Linked DNA regions of Schizosaccharomyces pombe. The protein of the gene in region 3 interacts with the protein of the main gene of each other region in a biochemical or structural test. Each region holds a gene or a part of one and is shown on either strand. Other genes may lie near its edges.

What was found.
Region 1: of the proteins of cdc2 (region 3) and clp1, one has a biochemical effect on the other in vitro, tested with the Schizosaccharomyces pombe proteins (2 studies listed by BioGRID).
Region 2: of the proteins of cdc2 (region 3) and dis2, one has a biochemical effect on the other in vitro, tested with the Schizosaccharomyces pombe proteins (3 studies listed by BioGRID).
Region 4: of the proteins of cdc2 (region 3) and crb2, one has a biochemical effect on the other in vitro, tested with the Schizosaccharomyces pombe proteins (2 studies listed by BioGRID).

The regions. Positions count from the first base shown.
Region 1 is NC_003424.3:4,768,153-4,773,297, forward strand, and holds clp1 (Cdc14 family protein phosphatase Clp1), read right to left. Parts: upstream 3,565-5,145; 5' UTR 3,508-3,564; coding exon 3,459-3,507; exon of another isoform or gene 3,404-3,458; coding exon 1,839-3,403; downstream 1-1,838. Other genes in the region: exonuclease Rex3, read right to left, coding at 1-1,377; box H/ACA snoRNP complex subunit Nhp2, read right to left, coding at 4,530-4,994. UniProt on the Schizosaccharomyces pombe protein: Protein phosphatase which antagonizes mitotic cyclin-dependent kinase cdc2, the inactivation of which is essential for exit from mitosis. To access its substrates, is released from nucleolar sequestration during mitosis.
Region 2 is NC_003423.3:3,172,099-3,177,622, forward strand, and holds dis2 (serine/threonine protein phosphatase PP1 catalytic subunit Dis2), read right to left. Parts: upstream 3,001-5,524; coding exon 2,949-3,000; exon of another isoform or gene 2,881-2,948; intron 2,600-2,880; exon of another isoform or gene 2,553-2,599; coding exon 1,621-2,552; 3' UTR 1,067-1,620; downstream 1-1,066. Other genes in the region: rpl29 (60S ribosomal protein L29), read left to right, coding at 225-251, 305-463; hom6 (homoserine dehydrogenase), read left to right, coding at 4,596-4,635, 4,705-5,524. UniProt on the Schizosaccharomyces pombe protein: Essential role in cell cycle control. PP1 is perhaps required for exit from mitosis.
Region 3 is NC_003423.3:1,496,891-1,502,595, reverse strand, and holds cdc2 (cyclin-dependent protein kinase Cdk1/Cdc2), read right to left. Parts: upstream 2,389-5,705; 5' UTR 2,353-2,388; exon of another isoform or gene 2,311-2,352; 5' UTR 2,257-2,310; coding exon 2,220-2,256; exon of another isoform or gene 2,152-2,219; coding exon 1,983-2,151; exon of another isoform or gene 1,911-1,982; coding exon 1,610-1,910; intron 1,509-1,609; coding exon 1,203-1,508; intron 1,149-1,202; coding exon 1,068-1,148; 3' UTR 501-1,067; downstream 1-500. Other genes in the region: protein wwm1, read right to left, coding at 3,181-3,795; aminophospholipid translocase regulatory protein Ivn1, read left to right, coding at 5,105-5,157, 5,216-5,354, 5,577-5,705.
Region 4 is NC_003423.3:4,207,748-4,214,077, forward strand, and holds crb2 (DNA repair protein), read left to right. Parts: upstream 1-3,219; 5' UTR 3,220-3,339; coding exon 3,340-5,676; 3' UTR 5,677-5,830; downstream 5,831-6,330. Other genes in the region: proteasome regulatory subunit rpn1301, read left to right, coding at 551-630, 671-752, 819-1,532; histone lysine acetyltransferase Rtt109, read right to left, coding at 5,893-6,330. UniProt on the Schizosaccharomyces pombe protein: Essential for cell cycle arrest at the G1 and G2 stages following DNA damage by X-, and UV-irradiation, or inactivation of DNA ligase. Plays a role in the response to DNA damage.

The DNA.
Region 1 (5,145 bases), on a different chromosome or scaffold from region 3:
TGTATTTTTATTCATGCCAAGTTCCTTTATTTTAATATACATTTGATCCATGGTAATTCCTGATTCTAATTCTTTGGCATCATGTATCCCGCTAAATCGAGTATTGAGACTCAAAATTTTGCCTTTAGGCTTTATAAACACATCCATAATAATGCTTTCCTTTGCTACCACCGTCAAACGAGCCAATTCCATCCCGTTCGTAGTGTAGCATAGTTCACAATCTAACGCGCAATGACTTAATTGCTTGCTATTTGTACTGTCTGGTAAGTAGGAAAATGGATGAACGCTAGCAAGATACGGAAGATGTCGGTATTTGAACACATGGTTGTCTTCTATAATACAACCAGACGAATCGCCCTCTTTTACACCACAGCAAGTGTATGTACGAATCTTCTCCCCCCCTTGCTTTTCACGAAACAGTTTTCCCCAATGATATGTACATGGTCCTCGAGGATCCGCAAACCGTGTACCACATCGATCGCATTCACGAAGTTCATCTGGCGGGTTTACTGGTGCAACGTCTCCAATATTATATCCCCATAGAATCAATTCTTCTTCCGAATGAACAAGTGACTCAAGTTTCTCATCAGGAGTTGATCCTTGTATTTCATTTTTCTTCGGAGCTTTCTTAAGAGATAAAATTTTAGACTTGCAGGAGGAACTGTATATCATTTTACTGTTTGCAGTTTCACAAATATTTTTTTCATCGAGAAGAGCAAGCATACTACTTTCTGCATTGGAATAGCCTAAATCCTTGTAAGACTCATATAACAAATGTGTCATTCGTTTTCTCAGTTCATGCCCAGCTGGTGAGTTGGAGTCATATTTAGGAGTAGGAATGATATTGGAAGACGCTCCTTGAGAATCTGAATTAGTACTAATGGCTGATACAAGTTGCTTCTTCTTATTAGGAACGATGGAAATGGCATCATTAAATAAAGAACGCTTTTTTAATACAGTATTTGTAGGTAGATGCGTCGTTTGATGATTCAACTGCTTGCATTTGTAAGTTTCTAGTACGTCCATACGAAAATTCTCATTCTTGGTTTCTTTAATGGAATCATTTGTCTTCTCCAAATTTAAAGTGGTGGATATATTTTGCCTAATGTTGAAATTAAGATTTTCAACCGAATGATAAGGGATACAGGTCGTAACTATTGGAACACAAATAGACAGTTTACAATTATCGTATTTGTAAGGAAGTGATTTTTCAATTTTAACTTTTGGGTACCCTTCAACATTTTCGGAATAAGGTGGTGAAATCTTTGTTGAGTTTTGAAAGTCATGACTAAAGAAACAATTCCTAGACTGACATTTGCGTCCAGTTCGTAGAAATGGACAAACTATGTGCTTAAACTGACCCAAAGGTGAAAACATTGAAGCAAATTAGGTACAACAAGTAGGCAGATTTCCGTTGGGAATTTAGATAAAAATTCTCAAGCAAAATATAATAAAATGTACCGCTACGAACAAAGATACCATGCACCCGCGAAAGAACCTCTTCAGCCAAAAATAGAATGGCGAAATCTTGAAATTCGTAATAAAAAACAAAGACTTTTTATATCATAACCAAAACAATTTCTCGATTAAAATCATTAACCATGGCTTGCAAAAAGCCAAAGTTTTTTCCAAAGAAATATGAATGTTAGTTAACAAAAAGGATAGCTAAGACATTAATGGTGGTGATCCCCACCGCGCAAAGGTGCGCTAAATCAGGGAATATTTGTAAAGTTAATTAATGAAAAATTATGCAGGGTTGACACAGTATAATTCAAAGTTAGTTTATATGAAAAAAAGGAATGTAAAAACTGCCATTTAAACCAGTAATTACAGGTTTATTAAGAAATTAGCCGGCTTTTAGAAGGCTTAGGTTTAGCAACACGGCCATTAGAAGTATTGTTAAGTGATGACATGCTAACACTTCGCTGAGCACTTTTTTTAGAATGACTAGACCCACTAGACCACCTATTTCCACTTGTACGTCGAATTGGACTACCAGTTGGTGAGGATGTCGGAGAACGAACTCCATTTGGTTCGATATTGCTTTGACTTGATGAGCGACGCAAGCGAACCACTGAAATTGTTTCAGTTGGAGTTCCAACAGTCCGTGTTTCATCATCATTTTGTATTTCTGAATCTTCGTAACTACTGTATGACGCTTTGTTCTCATTTTGGATTGATTGCTTGGAAGCATTTTTAAGTTTCTCATTAAATTTGACAGAGGACGCTGAAGGGAGACGTCTCGCCGACGGTGGATTATGTCCAGAAACTTTTCTCGGTTGGCCAGGCGTTGGTTCTGGAAGAGGAGTACTGATATTGCTTTGAGAGGTACCATTCGTAGCATTCAATGGATGGCGAGGAGGAGTAGCTAAGGGTTCCGCAGCGGTGGCCTGTTGGATTGCTCTTCCCATCGCCTTTTCGTAAAAATATGCACGGAAATGAACTTGATTAATATGTAACCAATGCTGTTGTGGACCTACAACCATTCCAGGACGCATTATTCTCATGTAAGCAATAACTTCATTAGCAGTAAAACAATGTTTGTATATTAAATATGCGCCAATTAAGCATCCAGTACGTCCGAGCCCTGCTTTGCAATGAACAGCAATCACACCGTCTTCTTCTACTTCCTCGGTAAGGTCAATAAACTCTTTGACAAGAGAAAGCTCTGGAACTGTGCCATCCTCAAAATACATCTCTTTATGTCGAATTCCAACATTTTCAAAAGTCTTTTTATCGTAAAGAGGTCCATTAAGCCTAACTATCAGTTTGACCTTATTAGCGACGAAATAATCGAGAACTATCGCAAACGGTTGAGGAAGTTTCTTTGGACGTGTGCTCGCATGATTCCAACCAGCCTGAATAGGACTTGCAAATGCTATAAACTTAGGAGATATCCAATTAAAATCTCCATTCTCCACTCTTTCATAAGTTTCATAGTCATGAACATCGATATTACGTATATTTAGTATGCTGCTCTCTCGTGCTCTCCACAGTCCGTAAACACAATCTTGAATCGTGATATAGTAATCTGAAACAGCATATCCCGCATCTCTAAACCCCAAAAAAGGAGGTTCTGCCTGAGCTAAAGGGGCTAATGCGAGATGTGGAGGCCAGTTTTGTACTAACACCATGTAGCAAGCTAACAAACAAGCGGCATTTGCACGCAACCTTGTATCTGTAGAAGAATATAAAACTATAGCCTTGCTTTTCTTAGCTTGTCTGTGTTTTCCCATGATACCATGAACTATCACTGCAAATCTAATAAGATGACTCACGTTCAGCGGACCAAAGTCATGATAAAAAGGGTTGTAGATCAATTCATCATCGATAGTAAAAAAATGCATATGAGGATATAACTCGGCTTTAGGTGGTTGCGACAATGATGTGTAGTATAACTTGTCTATTTAACATGTTAATCAATTTTACGAGATATTTGAGTTAAACTTCATGCATACCCTCCAAAAACTCAATCATTTCACCAAGCCCATCATCTTGGTAATCCATCAGACAAGTAATTGCGAATCTCGTCTATATTCGTCAAACCCGTAATGGTTGAGTTCTAAATTGTGTACCTGGGTGTTGGTGGTCCTTGTAAATAGAAGGGATGATAATGCACAAGAAAATATGTGGGGTGCGAAACAAATGAAGACAAAAGTGGATTCTAAACTATACACAACGTTATGTTGACATTTAATCTTTTCTCTTTATTAAAAAAAAAAAGACATTAACTTTTAGCAACACTATAGTAAATAAACAACAATAATCATTATCTTACAAAGTAAGTAAAAATGCACATCAATTTATGATAAACATACAGAATACTTTTTGCTCATACAAATACAACCCAACTTTTTTATCTGAAATTCGATTTGTTTTAGCAAATATATTTAAATCCGATAACAAAATCCGGATAGATAACCATATAATTGCCGGACCTTTAAAGCTACCCTAATCTATCATTTATGGATAGCACTGGAAAGCATAATATTTGTAAACATTATAATGGTAAGAACGACGTTGGGTGAAATTTAAGTTAGTTGTAAACTGGTTCTAACACGCCGCCTCTGAATACTAAATAGCAACCTAAACGAATAATAAAACTTTTTTGCGCAACTAGTTAGAAATAAACACAGGCTAAATCCGTAATGAAACGATCAGCGTAAACGAAATTTGAGGAAAAATCAGTTGATATTTCATCGCTGTTACAGCGATATACCATTCTCATATAAGTTGGTAAATGATACGATATTATTGCTAACAAAGTTTTGGAGGTATAGTGATTAGTTTGCTCGCAAACCAGTCTAAACCCATAAAATACTAGGGCATAAGAAAGAATGATAAAACACTAGATTAAAAAGGAAATTTTTTGAAACCTTAAAACCGACCATTAAGCAAAACTTCTTTTCGCTTACTATCAAGCAAACAGACATGATATACCAAAAGTTAAATCCCAGGATAAATACCAAATTTTAATAGTATATAATAATCTACATTAAATGGCTAAGCATCTTTTAGATATTGAACAATTAAACTTCAAGAGCAGGTACTTCTTTTATAATTTCCTCGTAGCTTTCCTTGTACTCCTCAACTTTAGACATGTCCTTCTTTTTTCCACCGGGAACAATCATAACACAGCTAGTAGGTCTCTTGGTGTTTGATGCTTCACCAAGCAACTCTTTGGAAACAGTATATAAGTAAGGGACATTATTGTCTTCACATAATACTGGAATATGAGATATAACATCCATGGGAGAAATATCACCAGCAAGAATTACAAGACCCTTCTCTCCTTTTCTAACAGCCTTTACAACCTCTTTGACCCCACGAAGGATGTGTTTCTGCTTCGAAGCCTTCTTGACAGTCTTCATCATTTTTTTGTTCAATTTTTTAGGAGCTAAAGGCTTAGCAATTGGCATTAAAGCAGGAAGATATGAATCATACTCATCTTCGGTGCTTCCACTATGCTTATGGTCTTTTTTATCTTTTGCCATGATAAAGAAATGGAGAAGGATAAGTTTGGAAGCCCAAAAGATGATCCCAATAAAACTTTTTTCAGTAACGCTATGTAGCGGATAATAGTCTGTTAAGCCATCTGTATAATACGTAATTTTAAGATACCAGCTTTGGTAATATTCCTTAAAT
Region 2 (5,524 bases), 1.7 Mb from region 3:
GTGCTCAAAAACATTTCAACTACACGATTATTTAGCAATTATGCATACACACAGCACCAATGCAATGGGAACTCGCCGAAGTTATCATTCATAATTTAATGTAATACCGACGATATCGGTATTCGCTTTAGTAAACTACGCTACAGAAACTTGTAAACGTGACTGCTTTTTTTGAAACAATATTTTGCTTTGCATAATCCTCTTTCACCTATCCAGGAACCAAAATGGCCAAGTCGAAGAATCATACTAATGTGAGTTTGTCTTTGTAGATTGTTGAATGAATGTTAATACTAACTGAGCTTAGCACAACCAAAACAAGAAGGCTCACCGTAACGGTATTAAGCGTCCTCAAAAGCACCGTTACGATTCTCTTAAGTACCGTGATGCTAAGTTCCGCCGCAACCAAAAGTTTGCCAACCGTGGTACCGTCGAAGCTATTCGTCAAGCTAAGGCCTCTGCTTAAAATGCTTGGAATTAGTTGTCTTAGTTTGGTTTCTACATAAATGGCATAATTCAACGTTTTAAAAATTTTGGATTTCTAAAATGAGAATCTCGTTTGATTTGTGCTTCTAAAAATAAAGGTAGTCTGCCGGTTAAATTTAAAGCGAATGCGTAGAGTAAGCTCTTACTGGATGTATATGAATAGCTGTGACGTTCTGTTAATCTAAAGTAAATTGTATCATTGCACTTTTTAACAAAATTACCCGTGAGATTAATTGCGGTTGAACTTGTTTTTCGTGCTAGACTGATGATTCGCCCTTATACATATTGGCTAACTTTCGGCTAATCTTCACCGAATTTAGTCAAGAATTGGGTGGTACAAATTTTCTATTAATTGATAGTACCTTAGCAGCAGTATAAATCTGAATTTCTTAATATTATTATTGTGTTCATAGACTTGTTAGTGAGTACTCTGCTAACTCGCCGGTAAATAGCTGTAATGATAATAAGCACCTTACTCTCTCTTACGATTAAACGGTGGCTTTATATTATCAAATCCCAAGGAATGCCGAAACATTGTATAAGCCTACTGTATATAAACGTGTGAACTACCATAAAATAGCATCACTGAAAAGGAAATTTGATTGCATAGTAGTATAAACAATAACTAAATAGGCAAATTATTTTCCAACGTGAGACCAGTATACATAATTGAAATGAAAGACCTTTAAACAAAATTGTCAATGGTCATTATAAAGGATTCCACCGATAGCAAACAGAAGCTTGCAGCGGAAAATGCCATCATCAACGTTAAGCACTCTCTCGAAGATAAGAAGTATAAAGTAGTTCAAACAACTATTGCTCGGTAAAAACATCCGTCTTTTAAGCGTCAGATTTTGTTAAAAAAGGGAATTTAGATGATGAAAAATAAAAGGCAATAGTCTATATACATCTAACAATTGACGGAAAAGAAAGAAAATGAATAATGAAATGGTAGTGCAAAAAATAATTTCTTAAAAGAACATTCAGTTATTTCATGAACAATTAATCATCGACCATTGAGAAATGACGAAAAGAAATCCGTTCAAACAGCTACATAAAGCGGTATTATCGTCGAATTGTTGCTTGTGGAAAATGAAACCAACAAAAAAGAATGGGAGAAATTGGATTGAGCTTAAATTACTTTGAATTTCCTGTCTTATTCTTCCGAGGTGGAGTCATGTGCCAATTTTGACTTGAACCTTGGTATCCGTAGCGTTGTTTTTTTTCAGCCGGTTTCAAAATCTGGAAACTGCACAACAAGCTCTCGTCAACACTCATCATCGCACCTGCATTATCAAACTCGCCACAGTAATTAGGTGCACTGAACAATGTGACTAGCTGACGTTTAGAGAAGAACTCATAACCGTCTTCCACAACCTGATGGGCTCGGCAAACAAGATCCATATCGTGTTTGTGCAAAAACCGAGAGACAACATCAGGTCCAAACGTGAAAGAAACACCTCTATCATTATCACCCCAGCCTGTAAGATCCTTGTCAGGATCAGACCAAAGTAAATCACAGAGTAACCCAGTATCAGGGACATCGGTCGGTCGCATGATTCTTTGGATCTGGTCCATAGAGTTCAAATCTGGCGAAAGACCTCCATGCATAGTAAAAATTTTTTCATCAATGATAGCTGCTATAGGAAGGCAGTTGAAGCAATCTGTAAATGTTTTCCATAACTTAATGTTATAACGGCGCTTACATTCATCGTAAAATCCATAGATACGATTAATACTGGCGCATTCATGATTTCCACGTAAAATAAAAAAATTTTCGGGGTACTTGATTTTATAAGCGAGCAAAAGACAAATTACTTCCAAGCTTTGTTTTCCTCTGTCAACATAATCACCTAGAAACAGATAGTTGGCTTCTGGAGGGAATCCTCCGTACTCAAAAAGTCGAAGAAGATCGTAATATTGGCCATGAATATCTCCACAAATTTTCAAAGGAGCTTCAAGCTCTAGAAGGATAGGTTGACTAATAAATATTTCACGTGCTTTGTTACATAAAAATCGTATTTCATCTTCAGATAATTGAACCTGTCTACCTGGACGACTACCACGGACTAAAAGAAGTTAGTAAATAGCTAAATGGTTTAAATGGTAAAATTAAGGATGGAAGTATTGGTTAGAAAAATCATTCACACAGAAACACGATATATGCCAATATGCAATCGCATTTGAATACAAATATGCGTGATTATGTATATAAAGCAAGTGTCATCACAAATGAGACCAAGAATCAAAGAAAATGCTTTCTAAACGTTTTCAAAGAAAAAACTTTCCCTTTTTCCTGGGTTTTCCTCAAATTTTATGAACAGTTGAATGAACATTTACATAGAGTCGTTTCCAGTTTCTTCATGTAAATTATTGTATTAAACAACAACTGATTTCAATTTCCTTTCAAAAATTTGTCTAAACTCAACCCTTCATCATGATCAAGTCTGCTTTTCCCCACTCACCTTCTAACAAGCGGTCGATAATGGAATCCAAATCCACATCTGGGTTCGACATTTTACAGGTATCCAATATAACCGCTTTTGACACTTATGAAGTCAAATTTTTGGGTCTGTGATTAATTTTTTACTCGACCGAATTTCGACGATTTTTCTTCCAAGTAAAGTGTTCCGAGGAAAAGTAAGACGGACGGAGAACGGTATTCAGTCGGCAAACCGTTTAAAAGCAATATTTGCTGCTAACTCAGAAATAAAGGTTATGGCTAACAGTAGGAAACTGGAGTGAGTTGTATGTAGTAGGTAGTTGAATGGTTGGGTGGTGGGTGTACAACGAGCTTGATGCATAATATGTGCCTACTTTCCTATATTCCTAGTTTCTATAATCACTACTACATTAAAAAAACGTATATAAACCTATAATTAAATTACTTTGGAATTCTTTTCTTATATTAATTGTTGATTTTAAACAACCCTCTAAATCTTGCTGCTCTACAAATTGTCTAGCAAATTGATTCAATTTTCTTTATTAATAAAAGGTGAAGAATAATTTAAATATTTTAAGAGATAGCAACCTACTTCAAGATAATATCGGTTTATTGTTTTGCAAGAAAACTTCATTAGAATTTAAAATGGTATATTCAGAACATTTTAATTTCGCAGTATTTTATCATAATATTTTATTTTCTTCTAAGCTTGATTTAGAAAATAAATAAATAATTTAATGTATGTTATCTGAACTTTTAAATTGAAAAAGCTGCACCTGCTTATGATTTGAGTTTGCTAATCATAATAATATGCATATATAATTAACAAATTATATAGTCAGATTGGTTTCATTACAGTTTTTCATTTTCTTGAACCCTAGACTTTTCTCTTCAAAAATCTCTTTTTTTTTTTTTTTTTTTTTTTTTTTTAATAATAAAAAAGCAAATTTGATGGATGGAATGTGATTTATTTAGACACTTAGCAGCATATAATTTAATTTACGAAGCAAAAAATTAAATATTTTTTTTCACGAGTCGATAAACACTAATAAATCACATAAGTTGATTAAGTGGTTTTTATTAATTGTAAAAGTAAATATATGATTGTATGCCATTGAATCCCATATATGAAATTTAATGCGTTATATTTATAATTTGTGATTAATTTATATAAATCGGCTTCTATACTAGATTTCTAGCTAAGTTTATTTAGCGGAGCTTCAATAAAACAAAATCAAATTAAATAAAATTTGTATCAAACGAAATCAACATCATTATTGCTACAGTAATAGATTTTGCGCTTTTGAGTATTATTACAAATATGTTCTGACTCGATTAATATAATGTCGCTCACATTTTGTTCACAACAAATATACCTGCAAAACTTTGATATCAATCAGAGAGAAAGATCCTTCCTTGGTTGAAAACTCATTTTTGGGTATAAAATAAACTCTTCTAAAAAATGTTTGGTATGACAATATTTAGACATGGAAAAAATTTAAATCTCCCTAAATTATCTACACTTTCTAAAATTTTATTTCCCTACAACAAAATTATCAATTCGTATATCACCTCTTCCAAAGTTTCCTTTGAGAAAACCCTTGTCACTGCTTTTCGTAATCCGACCCAACGTCGTAGCATCTCTACCTCTCCCACCCACTATTTGAAAATGTCAGCTAGCAGAACTAACGTTAACGTTGCTATTGTTGGTAAGCACACAATAAATTGAATGCTTGAATGTTTTGTAAAGCGAAAGCTAATCACTTAAAAATAAATAGGTACAGGAAACATCGGCGGTGAACTCTTAAACCAAATTAAGGGTTTTAATGAAAACGCTTCTACCAATGGCACTACCTCTTTTAACGTTGTTGCCATTTCTAGTATGGAAGGTCACTACGTCTCCAAGGATTATCAGCCCATTAATTTGTCTGAATGGAAGAACCTTACTTCTCAGAACCAAGGTGCTTATTCATTAGATGCTTTGGTAGATTTCCTTGCCAAGTCCCCCCTTCCCGCCATTTTGGTCGATAACACTGCCTCTGAAGCAATCGCTCAATCTTATCCTAAATTTTTGAGCAAGAAAATCAACATTGCTACTCCCAACAAGAAAGCATTCTCTGCTAGTAATGATGTCTATCAAAACATTATCAAGGCTAGCAAGGAGAGCGGTGCTTTATTGATGCACGAGGCTTCTGTTGGTGCTGGTTTGCCAATTATCTCCACATTAAAAGAACTTATCGCTACTGGTGATGAAATCATAAAGATTGAAGGTATCTTTTCTGGCACTCTGTCTTACATCTTCAACGTTTGGTCTCCTAACGGCAAGAAAGGAACTGCCTCATTCTCTGATATCGTCAAAATTGCCAAACAAAATGGCTATACCGAGCCTGACCCTCGTGATGACTTGAATGGCATGGATGTCGCTCGTAAAGTCACCATCTTGTCTCGTATTGCTGGTGTTCATGTCGAGTCAGCTAGCTCATTCCCTGTTAAATCGCTCATTCCTGAACCTTTGAAGAGTGCTGTAAATGCTGAAGAGTTTTTAGCTGGATTACCTAACTTTGATTCAGAATTTGCTAGCATGCGCGAAGAAGCTGA
Region 3 (5,705 bases):
ATTTAATTGGTTACCTTTTTCTATGATTAAAGCATGGAAAGTAAAATGTGCATGCGCAGTTTAATGGAAATGCTCTTCCCTCCATGTATTTGCTCCCTTTTCATTCCTCTCAAGCCTCCAAACAAATTTGTCCTGCGTTTCATCTTTAGACGTTATATTTCCAATATGTCTCGTTTCATTCTGTCCAATTACACTTTGCCAGGTTCAATCGTTAGTATGTATCCATGCATCTAGTGGTTTCTCCTGCGCTGTTTAGTTTTACTTCTTGTTTATACGATTTATTAATTTTGAATTTTTCCAAACGCTCTAGGTATAGACTTAAGCTGTAAATGATGCTCGCTTAGCGTTCAATATAGTGTGAAATACAAATATTCATATCACTTTCATCTTGTAAAATTTAATAAACACGTATGTCTGTTGAACAATAAGCACATTTACGTTCTTTTACCGTTTGCTCGTAAAATTAATTCACCTCTTTGATACTAAATACATCTAAGTAAGTGCAGTTTATATGTTCAGAGCAAACACGAACACTAAAAACTAAAGTCTAAAGAATATACACCTTTTTTAATACTTAAGTATAAAAAATATGTAAATAGAATATAGTATAAATGAGGATTAAAAAACTGGAAAACAAAGGATAAGAGTAAGTAAGAAAAAGGGAGATTAAAAGGCTTCAGTTTTATCAGGAATGAAAGAAAAATAGATTTAAACACTCAGAGCCTGCTTTTGTAAAAAGAACGGCGATAATTCCCTTGACAGTCAAAGAAAGCATTTAAAGTGATATTTACAATAAAGACACAGTAAAGGGAACAGAACTAAAAACGTTACTAAATTCACATTTAATGGCAAGCTCAATATGTCAGTGTTTTTTATATGCCCTGTAAATTGCCCATTGTTTGAGTATGTTTTGAACAAACGCCAAGATTCGAAAAAGAAGGAGGAAAATAAATATTTTCGGTTTATAAATTGAGGTAATTTGTTAATAACTGATATCAAGAAACACAGCAAAGTACAGATAAAGTCAAGGATAGCGTTTTTAAAGGTTTAATAATAAGAGACGAAAATTAATGAAAATCACGAAGATAATTTTGTTGCAAAGCTCGTTTTGCACTAATGCGATGGGCAGGGTCATAAACAAGCATAGCCTTGACAAAATGGTTAGTAATTAGTCTTAAATAGATGGTAATGCAAAATCTTACAGAGAGTAATTCAATAGCGTCCTCTTCACCATTGGGAACAACTTTATGCAAATCCATGCGTTTCCAACGAGGAAATGTGGATTTGTAATCTTGCAAAAGCGTGACTCCAGGCCATACTTCTTCGTTTGGGGTACCTAAAACTTGAAAAATTTTAAAAATTTCGTCGATCTCAGAGTCACCGGGAAATAATGGACTTCGTCGAATCATTTCAGCAAAAATACATCCAACGCTCCAAATATCAACCCCAGTGGAATAATGTCTTGATCCCAACAATACTTCAGGAGCACGATACCATAAAGTGACAATCTAAACGGTTAGCGACACAAATTAATGCTGAAAGACCGTCAGTCAATATTCCAAATTTTTTGGGAATAAAGTCATACAGCCAAGTAAGAAAAAAAATATACCTCATGCGTATAGTTCCGCAAAGGGACACCAAATGACCTCGCAAGTCCAAAATCTGCTAGCTTCAAATTGCCTTCTTTGTCTATCAACAAATTTTGTGGTTTTAAATCGCGATGAATGATTCTTCTAGAATGGCAAAAATTTACACCGTTCACTAGCTGGTAGGTAAACTTTTGAACAAGTCTCGGATCTAAACTAGTGGCCCCAGTTTCTGAAATTCGGTCCATGTATTTTTTCAAATCCATGTCTAAAAACTCAAAAACAAGATACAACTTTGATTCAGCATGTAAAATATCCAAAAGTCTTAAAAAAGGGTTAGAAACAAAGTTTTATCAATGTAAACATTTCCCATGCATCCGTCAAGTAAAAACTTACCGAACACAATTTGATCGATTATTCTCATCATTCACTTCTTTAAGAAGCGAAATTTCACGAATAGCTGTGCTAGGAACTCCCTCAGATTCATCTTCAAGGCGAATTTTTTTCATGGCCACAATACGCCCTGACAATTTATGTCTTGCTTTATAAACAACGCCATAGGTTCCTAGCATTAGTCAGTATACGTGACAGAAAAGAAATTGGATAAGTCATAGCTTCCTCAGTTACACCTACCTTCCCCAATTTTTTCGACTTTTTGATAATTCTCCATTGCAAACCACTAAAAGAAGCAACCTAGCGGTATGTTTTTTGGAAAATAATTTTTCTAATATCTGTTAATAGAGATGCGAGAATGATCTCAAAATACGTTTATACAAATTTGCTTATGTTGTGTTGTGCTGTGGGTAAGCTTGCTCAACTAGCGATAGACTAGTGGAAACGCAGAGGACTATTATCAAACCGAACTTAGGGCTAGCGCTTCATGTTTCTAACTTATGAATTATACTGTTATCAAAAATGAAATTAGAAAAGTAGGACATAACTCATTACTTGCAATTTATACTAGGTGATCAGATATGAAGAACTACATAATCAAAACATCATCTGAAGACATTGTATAACCGTGAATTAAAAAATTGTAAATGTGAATATCAGTCAAAAAAGTGCTATTATTAAATAAATAAATTTACGGTAGGTTGGATTATCCTGAGTTGTCTAATATTTATAGACTAACCCTTTAAGATAAATGTGAAATTGTAAAAACTGTCAAAGACTTCTCCACCTGCTCGCAAAGAAAACAAAACATTTTTTTTTATTTAAAAGAAAAATAAATAAATAAATATCACACTTATAAAAACAAGCAGAATCCGTGTGTATGTCAGAAGTTACAGAGTCATAAAAAAAATCCAGATAGATAAAAAGCATTGCGAAGGAGAAAAGGTAAAAAAAAGTTAATATAAATAATAACTATTACTAGGGAACAGCATTGAATAAGTCAATATTCATTTACGACGAAGACTTTCGAGTTAACCACACTAATGAACTATCCCCGTGTACACACAGGTGTAAAATGAATGATCTTATATTTCTGCAGTAAAATATGTATTAATCGTTCATCTAATGTAATTTTTCTTGCGAGAAACACTTGTCAATAATGCAGTTGAACTCAATAACATAATCGATGCATGAAATTCCCTTAAAAGAAATCATTGCCAAAGTCATTACCTCCATAATCATCAAAATTGTTGTAGTTATTATCATCTACATAAACAACTTCTTCAGGACGATCAAAAGCTTCGTCCATTTCATGCATAGCCAAACCACCGACAAGAAGTCCGCCCAAACCAGTCACCATGGGATTAGACAAGACTCCGCTACGACCTCTTCTTGCAGAAGTAGCAGGCTGGGCATATACGGGTTGTGCGTAGGCAGGCTGGGCTGGGTAATAATTTGGTTGATTGGGATAATAATATGGTTGTTGAGGATAACCGCCCTGAGGGGGATAAGGCTGTGGAGCGGCCCCGTATGCTCTGTTTTGGGAAGCTGCGGGAGCAGGAGCAGGAGCAGCAGAAGAAGCAGAAGCGGCAGGAGTGGCAGGAGCGGCTGAGTTGGAATAAGAAGGAGGCGGTCCACTTGGGGGAGCAGAGTGGTCCACCGAAGGAGGTGGTGGAATAGTTAAACCACGGACCGGACATTCCCATTGCGGCTTTGCTTTGGGATCACTTTCATTAACATAAAAGTAACACTTGTAGCGTTCATCCCACTGAGCGACCCAGCCATTAGGGAGACCTTCACGAGTTTGATAAGCCATAATGGAATTTAAGAAATATGTTGAGTATAAATTGAGAGAAAAGTTTGGAATGAAGGGAATATCTTAAAAAATAATTTTTTTGGTAAAAAAGACAGTTAACAAAAAATAAATGAATTCTAATACTTCTATCTGCTCTGTACGCAAGAAGTAATGGTAACAACAAATGGAAAGAGAAAGAATACTTCTAGATAGTTGGCCTTTTGCAAATGAAAAAGCAATTGATCAAATAAATGAAATTCCGCGTATGATGGTGAGATAATTATAGTGGTTAAGATCGATAAGAAGGTTGGAGAAGTTTGATGCTAGCAGCAGTCATGGAGCTATTCGTGGTGAAAGGTGCCACTAGTATGCTTAATTTCTTAAACTAATATTCAGCTATACAGTGATTCTTATAGGCAGTTTTTTTTTAAATTTGTTATCTATTACATTACATTATAACGAAACTACTTGAGCAATGTAAGTAATCAATATTCATATAGCGATACTTAGCTGTTTCTACAAATCTACAGATATTATACAGGTAATTGAAAGTCTCAAAGAAGTGAAGAAGCGGATAAGTTCATCACTCTTAAACATTACTTTGAAAACCGCCGAACAAAACTTTATAAAGCTTAGAATAAAAATTGAATCACCACGCTGGAAACCCCCTTCTAACAACATAAACTAAATCATGAAGAGCAAAATGATATGATTCTAATTTTATGGATAAAAAGGGTACGGCGGTGAATCCTGTGTCTTGTGAATGTCATTCATTATTTAAAAAAACTTTTTCTGATGATGGTGAATATTCCACTGATTTGATTTATAAAAACCTTGAATACAAGCGGGTATATTATTTGATTTCCTTTTTCACCGCATGGAAAATTGCTATTTATTTCATTAATCCATCGGCTGAAATAATCTTTTCAAGAATACTGTGTATAAACGGCTACAAAAAAATTATAATTAACATAATTAAAAATAAGAAAGGTTTTTTATTGATTCACTGCAGCTGCTATTAGCGATTTCATATACGATTATAAGCAATGAACTTAATAAGTCATTCAAAATTTCACCCAAAAAAAAAATGCTTTTAGGAAATCAATACTATACGAGTTATTTACTATGAAATAACTTTGATATCTTTTGTAATCAATGCTTTTTTCTCTGTGTTTACATATAAATTGTGTCATATAACCTGCTAACCCAAGTGACAGCGAGAGAGTAAGGTGATGATGGAGTTTTGCGCAGTCTCGCACTTTTACCAAGGACCAAGTTAATCTTGCATTCTTCATATTCGTAAGCATTGTTGAATGCCTGATTATATACTATGAGTCAAACAGAAATAGTTAAAAAACCAAAGCATAAGAGATTTAAGCGCCCGTAAGTTGTCTTGATTACATTCGTTTTTTGGCAAATTGGTTTACTGATCCGTATGTAGTGACAAATCTCGGTTTGTTCAGCAAACACTTCCTGCTTGGCAGTTTATATTCACACCATGGACAGTCTTGCCGTTATTATTCTTATTAGGCATAGTGTTTGCTCCTTTGGGAGCTGGCATGTTTGTGGCCAGTCGACGGGTAAGTCTAAGCATCACGCGTTTCCATAGAGCTATATGTTTCAAATTGATAAACTGGGTATATTTTGCAATACATTACTGTATTTTGGAAAGATATGATTATTTGCGAATAATTTTTATCTGATTATAGCCTTATCCTTTGTCGGTGTTAGCACACGTGTAGCCCGAACGTTACCGAAAATATCATTTTTTCTAGATCATTTGCTAATCAACATTTTATTAGGTCAAAGAGCTGCGAATTGACTATACTGATTGCATGAATATAGGCGATGAGTTTAAACAAGTTCCTTCCACGAATATTGAGTTCCAATATAAAAATGTAAAAAATGTAACAGCGATGTGGAAATCATCA
Region 4 (6,330 bases), 2.7 Mb from region 3:
ATCATATTGTTTATCATTTACGGACGTTGAAAGGATTGCTAATGTAGTATTTGTCTGTTCAAGTAATTTTTGGTATTCCTAAAGAACCAACTTCATTATGATTCAGGGCTTAAAGGGTTATAGGAATTAACATATTTTTCCTTTAAATATCGTATTGACTAAGAATTCACCTAATATAAATAGCGAATTCAACGCTCAATTGCAATCGTAGGATCTGAAATATAACTACTTAATTGACAGCCAAAGATAATTCAGAATCTAAATATGCTGTATTTACGCTTTCTCACAAACGTAGTAAGGTATCATTTACATAACATTATTAAATATTTGATTATTTTATTTTATAAGTTATATTTATTTTTCCTCGAAGCTATCATACTACCCAAATTAAGCTATGTTTGTTTCAAGGATAGGATTTTTGCAGTGTAATCAAACGTTATTGTTAAACAACGCAACGAACTACAACGAAAGCTAGAGCTTCGTGGTTTCGACACAGTACATACAACCTGTCTTTTGCATTTCGCAGTTTAAGCAGTTTGCGATTGGGATAATGTCGTTGATAACTTTCAAAGCAGGAAAGCTTCGCAGAGTTCCAGGAACAAAGCTTTTACGTGCTGACCCAGAAAAAGGGTATGCTCGCATATTATGTATGATAGCTAACAAATCACAGTTATATAGTCATGAATCGGGACGCCTATGGATTAATTCATTTTCAATGGGCAAAAAGGAATGATCTTGAAAATCCCGAGGATGTAAGTATCACTTTCAATACCACCTGTAACACATTAAAAGTTCTAGTCGATACTAACCAAGTTTAGGATATAATTGTATTTTCTTCTGAGTGTACATTTGAAAAAGTTACGGAATGTACCACTGGGAGAGCTTACATGCTCAAATATCCTTCTAGCGCTCATAGCCTATTTTACTGGATGCAAGAAGCCTCAGACGATAACGATACTTCTTACGCTGAAAGAATTAACAGCTACATTAAGGATCAAGATTTATTAGATCCGGCCCGCTCTGATGTTGCAACGGTTTCTGATATGATGGAAGTGGATACTGTTGAGCAATCGGAACCTATTGCTCAACCAACTGAATCTTCAAAAGAGAGCTCCGAGATTGGAGCCCCGAACAGCGATGAAATTAATTCATCGGAAGCTGTGAGGAATCTATTGGCTACAATTTCTGCTCAGGCTGGATTTGGAGGTAGTACAGTCGATCTTTGCGAAATCCTCAAACCTTCGAATTTAACCGATCTTTTATGCCAAGAAGGTGTTATTGATCGACTCATGCCTTACATGCCTCCTGATACCCCAAATAATTTGGAGGGGGTTTTGGCTATTGTTAGTAGTCCTCAATATGCTCAAGCTTTGAGAAGCTTTTCTCAAGCTTTAAATTCTCCTGGTGGTGTAAACATTATTTCAGCACTTGGTCTCTCACTCGACGAATCTGCCAATCCTAATGAGGGAGGTGCTCTGCAATTTCTTAAAGCAATTGCTCGCTTCGTGAGCAGGAATAATGGTTCTGAGTAATGTCTTCGATTAAGTAATTCGTCGTATATCAAAAATTTCTATTTAAAATATTATCCGTTGAATCGTTTCTTTATAATTCACTGACGATTCGTATTAAAAGTTTTTAAATTGAGCATTACTGGCGTTCTTTTTTTTTTTTTTAAATAAATATGGAGGAATTAAAATGCTTTCATGGTAGGATTTGTCCTCTTACCAAAATGAGTAAGAGTAAGTTGGAGTACACAATACAATGTTGCTCGCTCAAAATGCTCTTTACAGAATGTTTATTGGTACAGTTTCATTTTTTCTCATATATGAAATATTTGTTTTAGGAAATAGGCAATCTTTATTTTTCTTGCATACAATGCTTATCTTTCCTAAACACTTAAGATTTATAAATGCAATGTATGTTCATGAATATGAACTGCGAGCGCCAAGGATGAATTACATTAGGACGACTAAAAATGAGAAGTTGCACTCCCGAAGTATCTCTACTTCATACTTCATTATTATTTATGCTTTATATTGATTATTGTTGTTTTACAAAATATGTTTTATTTCCAAAACAGTTGGTAAAATGTAGGATATGTAATGTCAAATACATAATACCAACATCTATTCTTAATAAGTTAGAAAGTTGAACAGTATTGAAATGATTTACTAAAGCTAGAAAGTAGCCAACTGTAAATGGTTAAAGTATTGACGTGTAGTCACATTCAATTTTTGCGCAATATCATTGAATTTCAAATCTAACGATTTTACTTTTGTAAACAGCCAAAAAAGTGGTCATAAAACGGTCAGGGAGGGACTCGAACCCTCGACCTCACGATTAACAGTCGTGCGCAATAACCAACTACGCTACCCGACCTCGGTGTCATCCGTTACATTTAGTAATATATATTGTTAAAAAAATAAAGCGTAGTAAATGTAATTGCTTTTTTGAGCTATGGCTTGTTACATTCTTTCTCTTGAGCAAATTTAGACTTGCTCATTACAATCATAATCGCTTTATAACGTCTATCTGCTTGTCTTCATTTGCATGAAAAAAAATCATATAAACAATGTATGCGGATAGTCAACTCAAACAAAATAGTAGTAATTAAATAGCAATAATAAAGAAGGAGCCTACAGCACCCCGGATTCCCATGTTGTCTCCAACCATAGTACTAACGAGGCCCTCAGACGCTTAACTGCAGTGATCGGACGGGAACTGGTGTTTTCGCCTAGGTATGGCCGTAGACAGCTGTTAAGTTTTAATAAAGTATATAAACGATAGTTATCACTCATTAGGAATTCGAATGTATGTTGGCTCCACTACGAATAAGATATGAATGTTAGCAATATAACCTGAAACTATATTTGACATTCTTTTTTTAGAAATATCATTAAACAAGCAAAATCTATTTTCTATGATTGTTTCAAAAAGTCAAGATGAAAAGTTCAAAACTCAAATTTAAAATTACTTCTTCAACATTACTGATTCTAACAACATAAATCTCCTATCGAACGTATTAATAAAAGTGGAAACATGCTGTAGTTTGTACATCAGGTCAAACAATTATTAATAAAATTAGAAAATAAGTTTTTCTACCTTGAGCCCTTCATTTCCATATTAATATATATATATATATGATTAGCCAAATAGCTGGTGTTGTAACTAAACGTTCTTAACTGCTTTCATATAAAGTAACGGTGCAACGTGTTACTTATGCAGAGCTTACAACAGATAAATCGAAATTTGGGTTAAGCCCTGGTTAAATTTGTAGTTCTGACAATTGTGAGGTATTTTAGATGTTTTCAATATTTTGTTTGAAAGTTTAACAATATTATGGAGGTGAATGATACCTCTTTGCATAAAGGATTTGGCCTTGACATAAATTCTCAACGTGTATTTGGAGCACAAGCAGCAATTTCTCGTAACAATTATTCAAAAGTGAATGCTTCAATTAATCCTTCCCCTCCTAGGAGTAATGATAATTCTAATAAGGAGTTTAGTTATTCTAAGGATGTGAATAACAATGGTGCTGTTGAGGAGCTAAGTCTTACGCAGTTGTTTGAAGTACCTAGTCAAGCTGCTTTTGCAAAACAGAGTTCCCAGGACATTTCGGATGATGAACTTATTCAACATGATTCTCGTAAGGTGATATCGTCGCCTTATTCACCCAAGCAGACACATACAGTGTTAAAACGCTTATACGATCGTCAATCAGTTATATCGGACCATGAAAAGCTGTTGACTCCTCAGAATGTATCTAATTCTTCCCAAATTCTTTCCCCATTTACTTCTCTATTACCATCAACTCTTTCAACTTTAAAAGATACACCTTTGTCAGTTTCTCAAAATGAGAAAAACTTAGAAACCGTTGGAGAAGTCCTTGTACCTGAAACCGTAGCTCAACATAGGACAAAGTTTTACGATTACACTTTGGATGAGATGGAAAATGAGACAGAAAGCGGTCAAGTAGAGACTACACCTACTCGACTGGCGACTTCTCTAGGGTCTCCCGTTCTTTATGGTCGAGTAGAGTCCACTCCTCCTGCTTTTTTACCAGAGACATCCGAAAAACAATATAAACGAAAATTTAGCTTTACTGAGCCCTCGTCTGAAAAAGTTGATAATACGGAAACCAAGTTTTCAAAAAAAACTAAAAACATTAATGATGAAAACTTTCCTAATCCATTTAATGTGATTTCTTCATATGAAACAAGTGCTTCACCGTCGACTGTAATAGATCAGTCTAGTCAAGTGAGCTCAATTTTTGTAAACAAACGGCTGAGAAAATCGGTTAATAATCAAGCTATCTCAAGGTCTGACAGCCTAAGCCTGGATACTCCTAAAATTGATAGTTTATTCACTAGGGCTTCTATTAAGCCATTAAAACCTTCCCAATCACCGAATTCAAGAAGGTCTTTTAAAAACCGTGTACTCGCTTTTTTTAAAGGATATCCCTCTTTTTACTACCCAGCAACTCTTGTCGCACCCGTACATTCAGCCGTAACAAGTTCCATCATGTATAAGGTTCAATTTGATGATGCAACTATGAGCACGGTTAATTCAAATCAAATTAAGAGATTTTTTTTGAAAAAAGGAGACGTTGTACAATCCACAAGATTAGGAAAAATCAAGCATACTGTTGTGAAAACATTTCGATCTACTAATGAGCAATTATCCCTTATAGCAGTGGACGCTCTAAACAACGACATGGTTATTTTGGCACACGGAGAAATTGAGGTTACGGTTCCCATTTCTACTATTTATGTTGCTCCTGTGAACATTCGGCGGTTTCAAGGAAGAGACCTCAGTTTTTCTACTTTAAAAGATATGAAGTTTGAGGAAACATCATTTCTTCCTTCACATGATTCTCAGAGAAACCGCTCTTCTTTGAAAGAAAGGGATTCTTCCTTTGTCAAGAAGAACTTGGATTCAGAAAGTAATCAGCTCATCTTTGACGATTGCGTGTTTGCATTCAGCGGTCCCGTGCATGAGGATGCCTATGACCGAAGTGCATTGGAAACTGTAGTTCAGGATCATGGAGGATTAGTTCTTGATACAGGCTTACGCCCTTTGTTTAATGACCCGTTTAAAAGCAAACAAAAAAAGTTACGCCATTTGAAACCTCAAAAGCGAAGTAAATCGTGGAATCAAGCTTTCGTTGTATCTGACACATTTTCTAGAAAGGTTAAATATTTAGAAGCTCTAGCTTTTAATATCCCGTGTGTCCATCCTCAATTTATTAAACAGTGCTTAAAAATGAACAGAGTTGTTGATTTTTCTCCTTATTTATTGGCATCTGGCTATTCACACCGTCTAGATTGTACACTTTCCCAACGGATAGAACCTTTTGATACCACTGATTCTTTATATGACAGACTTTTGGCAAGGAAGGGTCCTTTATTTGGAAAAAAGATTTTATTTATTATACCTGAAGCAAAATCTTGGCAGAAAAAGATTGAAAATACAGAGCAGGGTCAAAAAGCTTTGGCTCATGTCTATCACGCGTTGGCATTGGGTGCTGACGTTGAAATTAGACCAAATGTTGCACATTTGGAGTGTGATTTGATACTTACGATGGATGGAAACATTGTAGATGAAACTAATTGTCCGGTCGTTGATCCTGAATGGATAGTCGAATGTCTTATTAGTCAGTCTGATATTTCTACTTAGTTTTGGTTTTTTGATATAGTTATTTTTACTAACTCCCCCTGAGTTTCACTCTCATTAATTTAGCTTTTTATTAATTTTAGATATTTGTTGTTTATTAATTTATTTGCAATACTGACGAAAAGTGTCAATTTCAATATTAAACAAAAACTTTCTCTAAAAATCTACATGAGAGGATTGATTGGGATTATTAAAAATTTTCAACGAACTTAAAGTCCTTTATTTTTTCACTTTTTTTCGTGGCTGTAGAATATTGGCTTGCGTAGCAGGTTTCGAATGGTTGTGATTTTTACGATCATCACGTTTTGCCAACCCACATATATCTAGCTTGTAGCGCTTATAATGAAAATCCTTTAAATTTTGTACAGCGGAAAGTGTGTTACTAAGAAACTTTTCTGTTGACGACTGTGCATCAGATAAAGAGCCAAATGGATGCTTCAATAAAGTATCGTAAGTGACTCTGTATAATTTAGCTGGAATCATTACACCAGAATCACCAAAATTATCTTTAGCAATAAATTCTCTTGTTTGATAGAACTGTAGCTGTAATGTGAAAAAGCCAACTAGTTTACCTGAGGAGCACTCTTGTCTATAAGTCAGCGTATCCCAAAACTCTTCAACGGACATGTCACTTTTCTCATCTTGAAGCTCGCATAA